2 linked regions of the Arabidopsis thaliana genome follow. Each later gene encodes a partner of the first gene's protein in a complex. Each region holds a gene or a part of one and is shown on either strand. Other genes may lie near its edges. The genes, in order: AT4G00585 and AT2G42310. A codon is read from its position in the direction of its gene.

What was found.
Region 2: the proteins of AT4G00585 (region 1) and AT2G42310 are in contact, whole or in part, in a cryo-EM structure (PDB 8BEH), measured with the Arabidopsis thaliana proteins. Residues at the interface, in NP_567180.1 of Arabidopsis thaliana: Arg16 (codon at 1,969), Ala17 (codon at 1,972), Lys18 (codon at 1,975), Val19 (codon at 1,978), Trp20 (codon at 1,981), Gly24 (codon at 1,993), Gly25 (codon at 1,996), Pro26 (codon at 1,999), Asn27 (codon at 2,002), Cys28 (codon at 2,005), Arg29 (codon at 2,008), Pro30 (codon at 2,011), Lys31 (codon at 2,014), Trp33 (codon at 2,020), Arg34 (codon at 2,023), Glu85 (codon at 3,037), His88 (codon at 3,046); in NP_181760.1 of Arabidopsis thaliana: Arg31 (codon at 2,142), Trp32 (codon at 2,145), Ala33 (codon at 2,148), Thr34 (codon at 2,151), Pro35 (codon at 2,154), Gly36 (codon at 2,157), His37 (codon at 2,160), Glu38 (codon at 2,163), Lys42 (codon at 2,175), Gly43 (codon at 2,178), Tyr44 (codon at 2,181), Phe45 (codon at 2,184), His94 (codon at 2,331), Leu98 (codon at 2,343), Lys105 (codon at 2,364).

What each region holds. Positions count from the first base shown.
Region 1 is NC_003075.7:250,117-254,207, reverse strand, and holds AT4G00585 (uncharacterized protein), read left to right. Parts: upstream 1-1,609; 5' UTR 1,610-1,716; intron 1,717-1,875; 5' UTR 1,876-1,923; coding exon 1,924-2,100; intron 2,101-2,961; coding exon 2,962-3,051; 3' UTR 3,052-3,368; downstream 3,369-4,091. Other genes in the region: AT4G00590 (N-terminal nucleophile aminohydrolases (Ntn hydrolases) superfamily protein), read right to left, coding at 1-97, 177-428, 516-597, 693-777, 864-984, 1,087-1,137, 1,227-1,373; AT4G00580 (COP1-interacting protein-like protein), read right to left, coding at 3,950-4,091.
Region 2 is NC_003071.7:17,623,200-17,626,483, forward strand, and holds AT2G42310 (ESSS subunit of NADH:ubiquinone oxidoreductase (complex I) protein), read left to right. Parts: upstream 1-1,793; 5' UTR 1,794-2,051; coding exon 2,052-2,396; 3' UTR 2,397-2,741; downstream 2,742-3,284. Other genes in the region: AT2G42300 (basic helix-loop-helix (bHLH) DNA-binding superfamily protein), read left to right, coding at 242-310, 435-506, 1,263-1,436.

The sequences.
Region 1 (4,091 bases):
CACAACATCCAACTAGAAATGGAGCTCCAAATGGTCCTTTAGAGGATGCCCAGCAACCAGAACCATATGTTGCCGCCAAACCTACACGGCCGCTAATCTGAAATACATGATCAGAAAGAGAAGATCAGTTTTACTTTCAGCTCAAAAGAACAACTAAGAATTTGTTGATATATTACCTTCATTGCAATACCGCCACTTGAGGACCCACACGCAATGTGTCCTTCATTGTCAACACAGATTACGCCAACAGTGTCCATGATCTTATCCTCATCTGCAGCTGCACAGGATGATACGTTTTCCTCACATGTTTCATTATTCTCGGTTCCTCTGGGATGTTCTTCAGCAGAGAGAATACTCTTTGCCCCTACCTCAGAAAGCATGGCCTTGAACCTTCTCCACTGATTTCTTGCTCTCTCTGTAACCAGCCACTGTTCAAAAATAACTTAAATCATTCTCAAGGAATAAAACAAGCAGGTGATTGACAGTAAAGCAAAGATAAAGTGGAAATCTCAAACCTGATCAGCTTCTGTGACAGTTCCAGGTATAAGAACACTTTTGGATTTACCCCAACGTCGAGCTCCCTCACCAACCAACAACCTGGGGAGGCAAATCAGAAAGTTCAACCCAACGCTAGCGACAAAACAAGATTCAAATTTGGGTTGATATCAGAACAAAGAAGAGTGATTCGTTACATAGGAGGTATACGGCCTAAGAGAGTTGAGCCAGTAATCTGCTCTTTCACCAACAAAGCAGCAATTTTGATAGCATTTCTGACACCTGATCTACATACAGTTCATCGTACAAAATCTTCAGCCATTCCACAAGTATAAGAACAAGGTTAATATGAGAGCTTTTATGAGTACCTGGAACTGCTCCAACACCACCAAACATCCCTGAATCTCCATCCATAAGACTAGCATCACATTCCACATGACCATCTTCTGTCAGATTAGAGCCTCTACCAGCATTTGTGCTCGGGTCATCCTAATTCAACAAAGATTCACATAGGAATCATTAGAAAACTGAAGAAAATCTACAGAGTTATAACATGTCTTCTTTAATCAGTGACAAAGACCCAACAAATACCTCGAGGACTTGAATGGCAGCTGAAACAGCATCTATGCATTCACCAGAATCCTAAATTCAACAGATAAACCTCAAGGTATGCAATTTGGAGATTCTAAACGATTTGGGCTATGAGAAGAAACTGAAACTCAAATAAGCACCTGACGAAGAATGGTCGACGCAGCTAGGCAAGCGCGTCTCATGACAGATCTAAGAGCTTTCTCGTTAGCCGCCGCATGATATCCGGCCCCGACGTGAACCGCCACGAAAAAGCGTCGACTTTGATCTGCTCCGTCGCCAGCCATCATCGTCTTCAGGCAAAAACAAAAACGTCTACCGTTGTTGAATTAATGATGCAAACATCGTGTCGTTTTTTGGACAACATAAACTTTAAATGGGCTTAAGAGAAAGTAAAAAGAGTTAGAAGGCTCAAATAAACTTTAAATGGTTTTAAATGGGCCTTAAGAGAAACTAATGGATTTTGAAGGCCCAAAATAAAGATTACTGTCCGAGACATAAAAGACCCTGAGAATTCAGAAAATTTACAAACAAATGCCATAACTCGTTTCGCTCACCCTCTTAACTCTTTAGAACAAGTAGAAGAAGTCTCATCTTCTTCGTCTTCTTTGCGATCCTTCTGATTTCACTAAGGTAAGCCGATTTCTGATCACCGGTTCGCCGGAATCATTCTATTTCAATTCTCACTTGTTGAATTTTGTAATAATTTTTAAATGTTAGGGAGGCTAGGGTTGACATCATTTTGATTCTATGTCACTGATATCGATCTGGCTATCTTCATTGTCGAATTAGGAAAAGGAATCAGTTTTTGGTGGAAGTAATTGATCCGATCTAGGAAAAATGGGAGGAGGTGATCATGGACATGGAGCAGAAGGAGGCGATTTCAGAGCCAAAGTCTGGAGTATGACTGGTGGGCCTAACTGTAGGCCCAAACATTGGCGTCGGAACACCGCCATTGCTATGTTCGGCGTTTTCCTTGTGTGCATCCCCATCGCCAAGCTATCTGCTAAGCTTGAGGTATACTTCATTACTTTGGTCCTTCATTACTTCATTACTTTGGTCCTTCAATACTTCATTATAGTACGAATAACATATGAGTAGAAGGGAATAGCTTGGAAGTTGATACTGGAATCTACGCATATTCTTCCCTCACATCTTCTTTGTTCTTGGTCTATGTTTGTCAATAGTTTTATCGGTTTGTGGAAATAGATTTGGATGATTCAAGGAACCGATTGTCTAGCTATTGAATGTTTTACAGTAGATATTAATTGCTACCTGCATCCTGCAAATTTGGATGTTTGGGACCATGCAGTGTGTGTGAAGATATTCTAACAGATAGCGTTAGTTATATGTTGTACACTAGTGTGTTTTTATGAAACGAACAAACTTCGTGTACCCAGTTCTGTATGGAATTCTTAGTCATTGCCATTAATTCATTGGGCATTAGTGTATCAGTGACTGTATAGATTGTGTAATATCTCGCAAAATGGGAACCTATCCGTGATGTTTTTCTCTGACTTGATTTAGATTTGCACCCTTTGAGCTCCCCAAGCCCTGTTTCCCATCACCATGTTACTTTGTGTTGTAGCCTGTATGGTTTTGTAATAGCTATGGGAGATTTCATTGATTATTTTTGTAGTTTGCCTGGTTCTTTGAGAAGAATTCAGTTGAATGTGTAGTTCGACACTGAAATCTTGGTTTGGGTGCAAATGCCTGAAGACTTGCAATTGCTCTTATAAATTGTAGCCTAATGCTTGAGTCCCTTGTGACAAAAAATCTGCACTTGAATTGTTATGTTTTGTGTATGTCCGTGCTACTATATAGTTTCCACTTCTTGTTTGATGTTCACAATTTGAGAAAAGCCCTTTCTGATTTCAGCAAAGGCCACACATGCCAGTACGCCCAATTCCTTCACAGATCTGGTGCAAGAACTTTGGAACCAAGGACGATTACGAAAAAGAGCATTAAAAGTTTTTTTCTTGGTTTGGAGAGAACCCTTTAATTGGTCTTCTTATTTGCAGACAATGTGAGCATAAAAAAAGCGCTTCTAGCTTTGTCTATGGATTTCAGAGTACTGTGAACATAATAATATGTCTTTTTCCTTGCCATGTAGAACAACACCATGGAATCTTTCCAAATTAAGAAATTTCATGTTTTTTTCCATATTCCTACTGATAATCTAGGGGTGGGTTTTATCTGAGGCAGATGCAGAATCCATGTGGGTTTTGAATCATCATTATACGATTTTACATTAAGGCAATGGAATATACAAATTCACATGAAACATGAACCAATCTTATAAATGAACTATTTCTCTACACTAGACGAACAATTACATCATACTTAAGATCTTATTCAAGAGTGATGATTAATTGAAGAAATCCTAATCAAAGCTAATTGATAAAGATCTAAAATTTCAAAGAACTGAACAAATTCAACATGAATTCGACACTCGATCTTAGGAACAAGGAATCATTGTTATGGAACAAGCATTGAATTATCTTTTGTTGCAGGCCCAACAAAGACCTCATAACAGAACAACCTATATCAAGAATAATACAGTGGGAACACATTTCTCAAGAAAATAGTCTCTTCTAAAAGATCCATGAGCTCAATTTCTACTATGATTGATTAGTATGTAGACGGTGGAATGTTCAGCAGTTAATCCTATATGAAATCATGCATGAAAATAAAATAAAAGATATGATTTAATAGAGGAAATAAGTTGCTTAAACCGGGAAAAACATAAAGCATCAAATGTTCAAAAGACAAACCAAAAGAAATCCCAAGACAAAAACCAAAAGTTCAAAAAAGAAGAGATAAAGAGAAGCGATCAATGATCCTGATAAGTGATAGCACACAATCCTTAAGCATCCTCCTCAACAATGTTTGAAGACTGTTCCTTCTTCGATCTCTTGTTCGGCTTCTTCACAACTTTAGCCACATTCTCCTGCGGATCTCTCGAGACACCATCTTCCTCAGCGTTCCTTGAGCTAGAAGCAACTAGA
Region 2 (3,284 bases), on another chromosome or scaffold:
TGTTTCATGAAATCCTGAGAAATCCTGAATCCATGTTTGTAAACTACAGATGTTGCTCTGATTCGCTTTTCTGGCATATTATCTTGAAAAGAGTAGAGTTGTTGATTTTATAGAAGCCGTTATACATATGCAACTTAGGATTAAGGCTCATTTTCACACTGCTTCGTTAACCACATATATTTCTAAAAACTATGCCTTGTTCTTCTTTCTTTCTGACTGACCAGAAAGCTTTGGCCTGCAGATTCAGGGCACTGCATTGGTTCTGGATGAAATCATTAACCATGTGCAAACTTTACAGCGTCAAGTGGAGGTAGGACTTCTTGCACTATCTTTTGTTGTTGTTTACCTGAAGGTCCTGAACTGAAACACTAAGCTACACAATGTATGATAAAATTGGTGCCACAGTGTCACATAACCGTTTTTCTTCTTTTCAGATGCTATCTATGAGACTTGCTGCAGTAAACCCCAGAATCGACTTCAATCTAGACAGCATACTGGCTTCAGAGGTAAGTATCAACTAATCATATAGGAGAATTAAGGTTGCATGTGATCTTCTTTTACAATAAAAACTCTTAAATTCAATGTTCACTGGGAAAAACTTCCCTTTGACCATGTTACTCGTTTAAGTAACCATAGGGATTATGTTTCTTTGAGTAACCTTTTTAAGTTGTATCACAAAAAGAGAAACTTTTGGATATTTATTGATCCAACATTAATCGACCCTATTCTAGACTAGGCTTAAAGAAGAAGAACAACGTGGGGGAAATAAATACTTAGACCTTACAAAAATGCAGTACAAACAGTGAGATCAAGGACTCTAAAAAATCTTTTGAAAGGACTCATTAGTTCTCTCAATTATATCATACAGAGAGATAAAAGTGGTCAGAAACACGGACCACCTTTGTTCTATGGTCTATGATGCTGTCTTTTTTTTTTATCCTTGCACAATTATTTTTCTGTGGGTCTCAGTCTTAAGTTATTGTTGCTTCAAGTTTCACCTATCTAATCTAATAATCAACTTTTGTTTCTCTGCAAATAACTTTCTTATTAAATGACCTTCTTCTTTTACAGCTTGTACACCATTTAAGAACCAGACCCCACTCATTAAAAACCTTGTTCTTCTAGGATGAGTTACAGTAAAATAGAGCTGGCTTGTTGACTAGATTGAGAATCTAGGATGTTGGATCAATCATCTCTAAGAGAAGCTGATATGTTTTACAAATTGTGTTAATAATGATGAGGTCCAATTATCTTTTCTGCAGAACGGCTCTCTTATGGATGGTAGCTTCAATGCAGAGTCTTATCATCAGCTGCAACAATGGCCTTTCGACGGCTACCACCAGCCGGAATGGGGAAGAGAAGAAGATCATCATCAAGCCAATTTCTCAATGGGTTCAGCTACTTTACACCCAAATCAGGTGAAAATGGAGCTCTAAGTTGGAAACAGTTTGACATGCTTATGTGTATATATAAGAGTTATATATATCTACTAAAGTTTCGATTGTTGAATTAGAGGTAGAAAATGGTTATGATTGTTTCAGGTCTTTGTTCATGGCCTTTCTATATTTACTAGATTCCTCAATGTAGAATTCAGAATGTCTAAATTGCGTTTCCCTTGAGAGAAGTATATGAAGATTTGATATGTTACTGAGCAATTACGACGTCGTACACGAATACTATCATCCAATACTGCTTAACCGACTAGTGTGACCAATTCAATTTGGTCTACCTAAATTATAACCAAACTGCCAGAACCGATTTGGACTACAAAATTTCCAGTCAAACCGTAAAACAAAATGAGAACTGAGAATACCAAGTCATACCGAACATAAAAGAGAGTCAATTTCGTATATAAATCTGTTAGACCGGATAATCTAAGCTGAAACCATTATATAATTCCCAATTAAACTGACAATTTCAATAAACCAAAATTGAAATTCTCGGTTCGGTTCGAATGAAACCTTTTGTAGGTCGTGGTCGTATATAGTTGGACACTTGACAAATCTGAGCATTTCCTTTTTGCTTACAGCGGAAATATCTGAACCAACGCGATGCCGTCGACGCAGTCCTTGACCGTCGCAGCGAAGACGCTACGAAATCGGATCTTCTCTAGGTCTGGATCTACATCCGCCGGTCCGAGTCGGTGGGCGACGCCAGGTCACGAGGAGCGACCTAAGGGTTACTTTATGAACCGTACTCCTCCGGCACCAGGACAGTCGCGAAAATGGGAAGATTGGGAGCTTCCTTGTTACATCACCAGCTTCCTTACAATTGTTATCCTCGGCGTTGGACTCAATGCCAAACCTGATCTTTCAATCGAGACTTGGGCTCATCAGAAAGCTTTAGAGCGTCTTGAGATGGAGAAGCTCGCGACCGCTGGAGATTCATCTGATTAAGCATCACCGTTGGATCTCCGGTTGCTTGATTTGGTATGTCCTTATTCTCCGGGAGTTGAGGAGTTTTTTTACCGTTTAATGATGATGATAACGAAGACTGGAGAGTTAGGGTTTCGTTTGGCCCTTGAACTTTGTTTCAATTCTCCTTTGTTTTGTCGATAATGATGATGTTCATGAAATAAGTGTTCTTTTAACTGTTTAGACGCAATTGCCTTCACTCTCTACTTCTTATTACAATTCTCAAATTTGGTCACTTTTGATTTACTCATTTCTCAAATGATTCAATTTCGACTATTGATTGCTGCATTACTAATTGGAGAAAGAGATTAAACGAGAGTTGTATGCTGATGTTGTGTGCTTCTCTTCCTTAGTTCATGGCTTGTTTATGTTCTCTGTGAATCTCAGGTTTGCTTGTTTCACTCAGTGCAGTGCATATTGATTAGATTAATAGCTACTTTATGTTAGTCGATTCTTATCTCTTTAGATCATCTTTTTTATACTTGTCATTTGTTGTAGTAGTAGTGATAAGCTGATAGTGTAGCTCTAACTAGGGCATGGATTGTTCCTTTGTGTTGTAGACATGTTCGTGATTATAGGTTATTGCAGCGTGCACAATAAGTTTTGTAGGCTTTCAAGTGGTTGGAATGGCATCAGCCATTGTTAGATGCAACACTCTAGATTTCAGTTTTGTCATTTGCTGTATTTTATTAGGCTAGCGTTTGGAGTTTTCATGGTGTCAGCTATTGGTAGATTTGACACACTAGATTTCAGTTTCTTTGACGGTGGTGTTTATTAGGTTTCTACTTAGCTGAGAATAGCAGATGAGAATGTTGATTTCGATCTTATACTTGGACAAGTCTGGAGTTGAAAGTAACTTCACTAGATTTG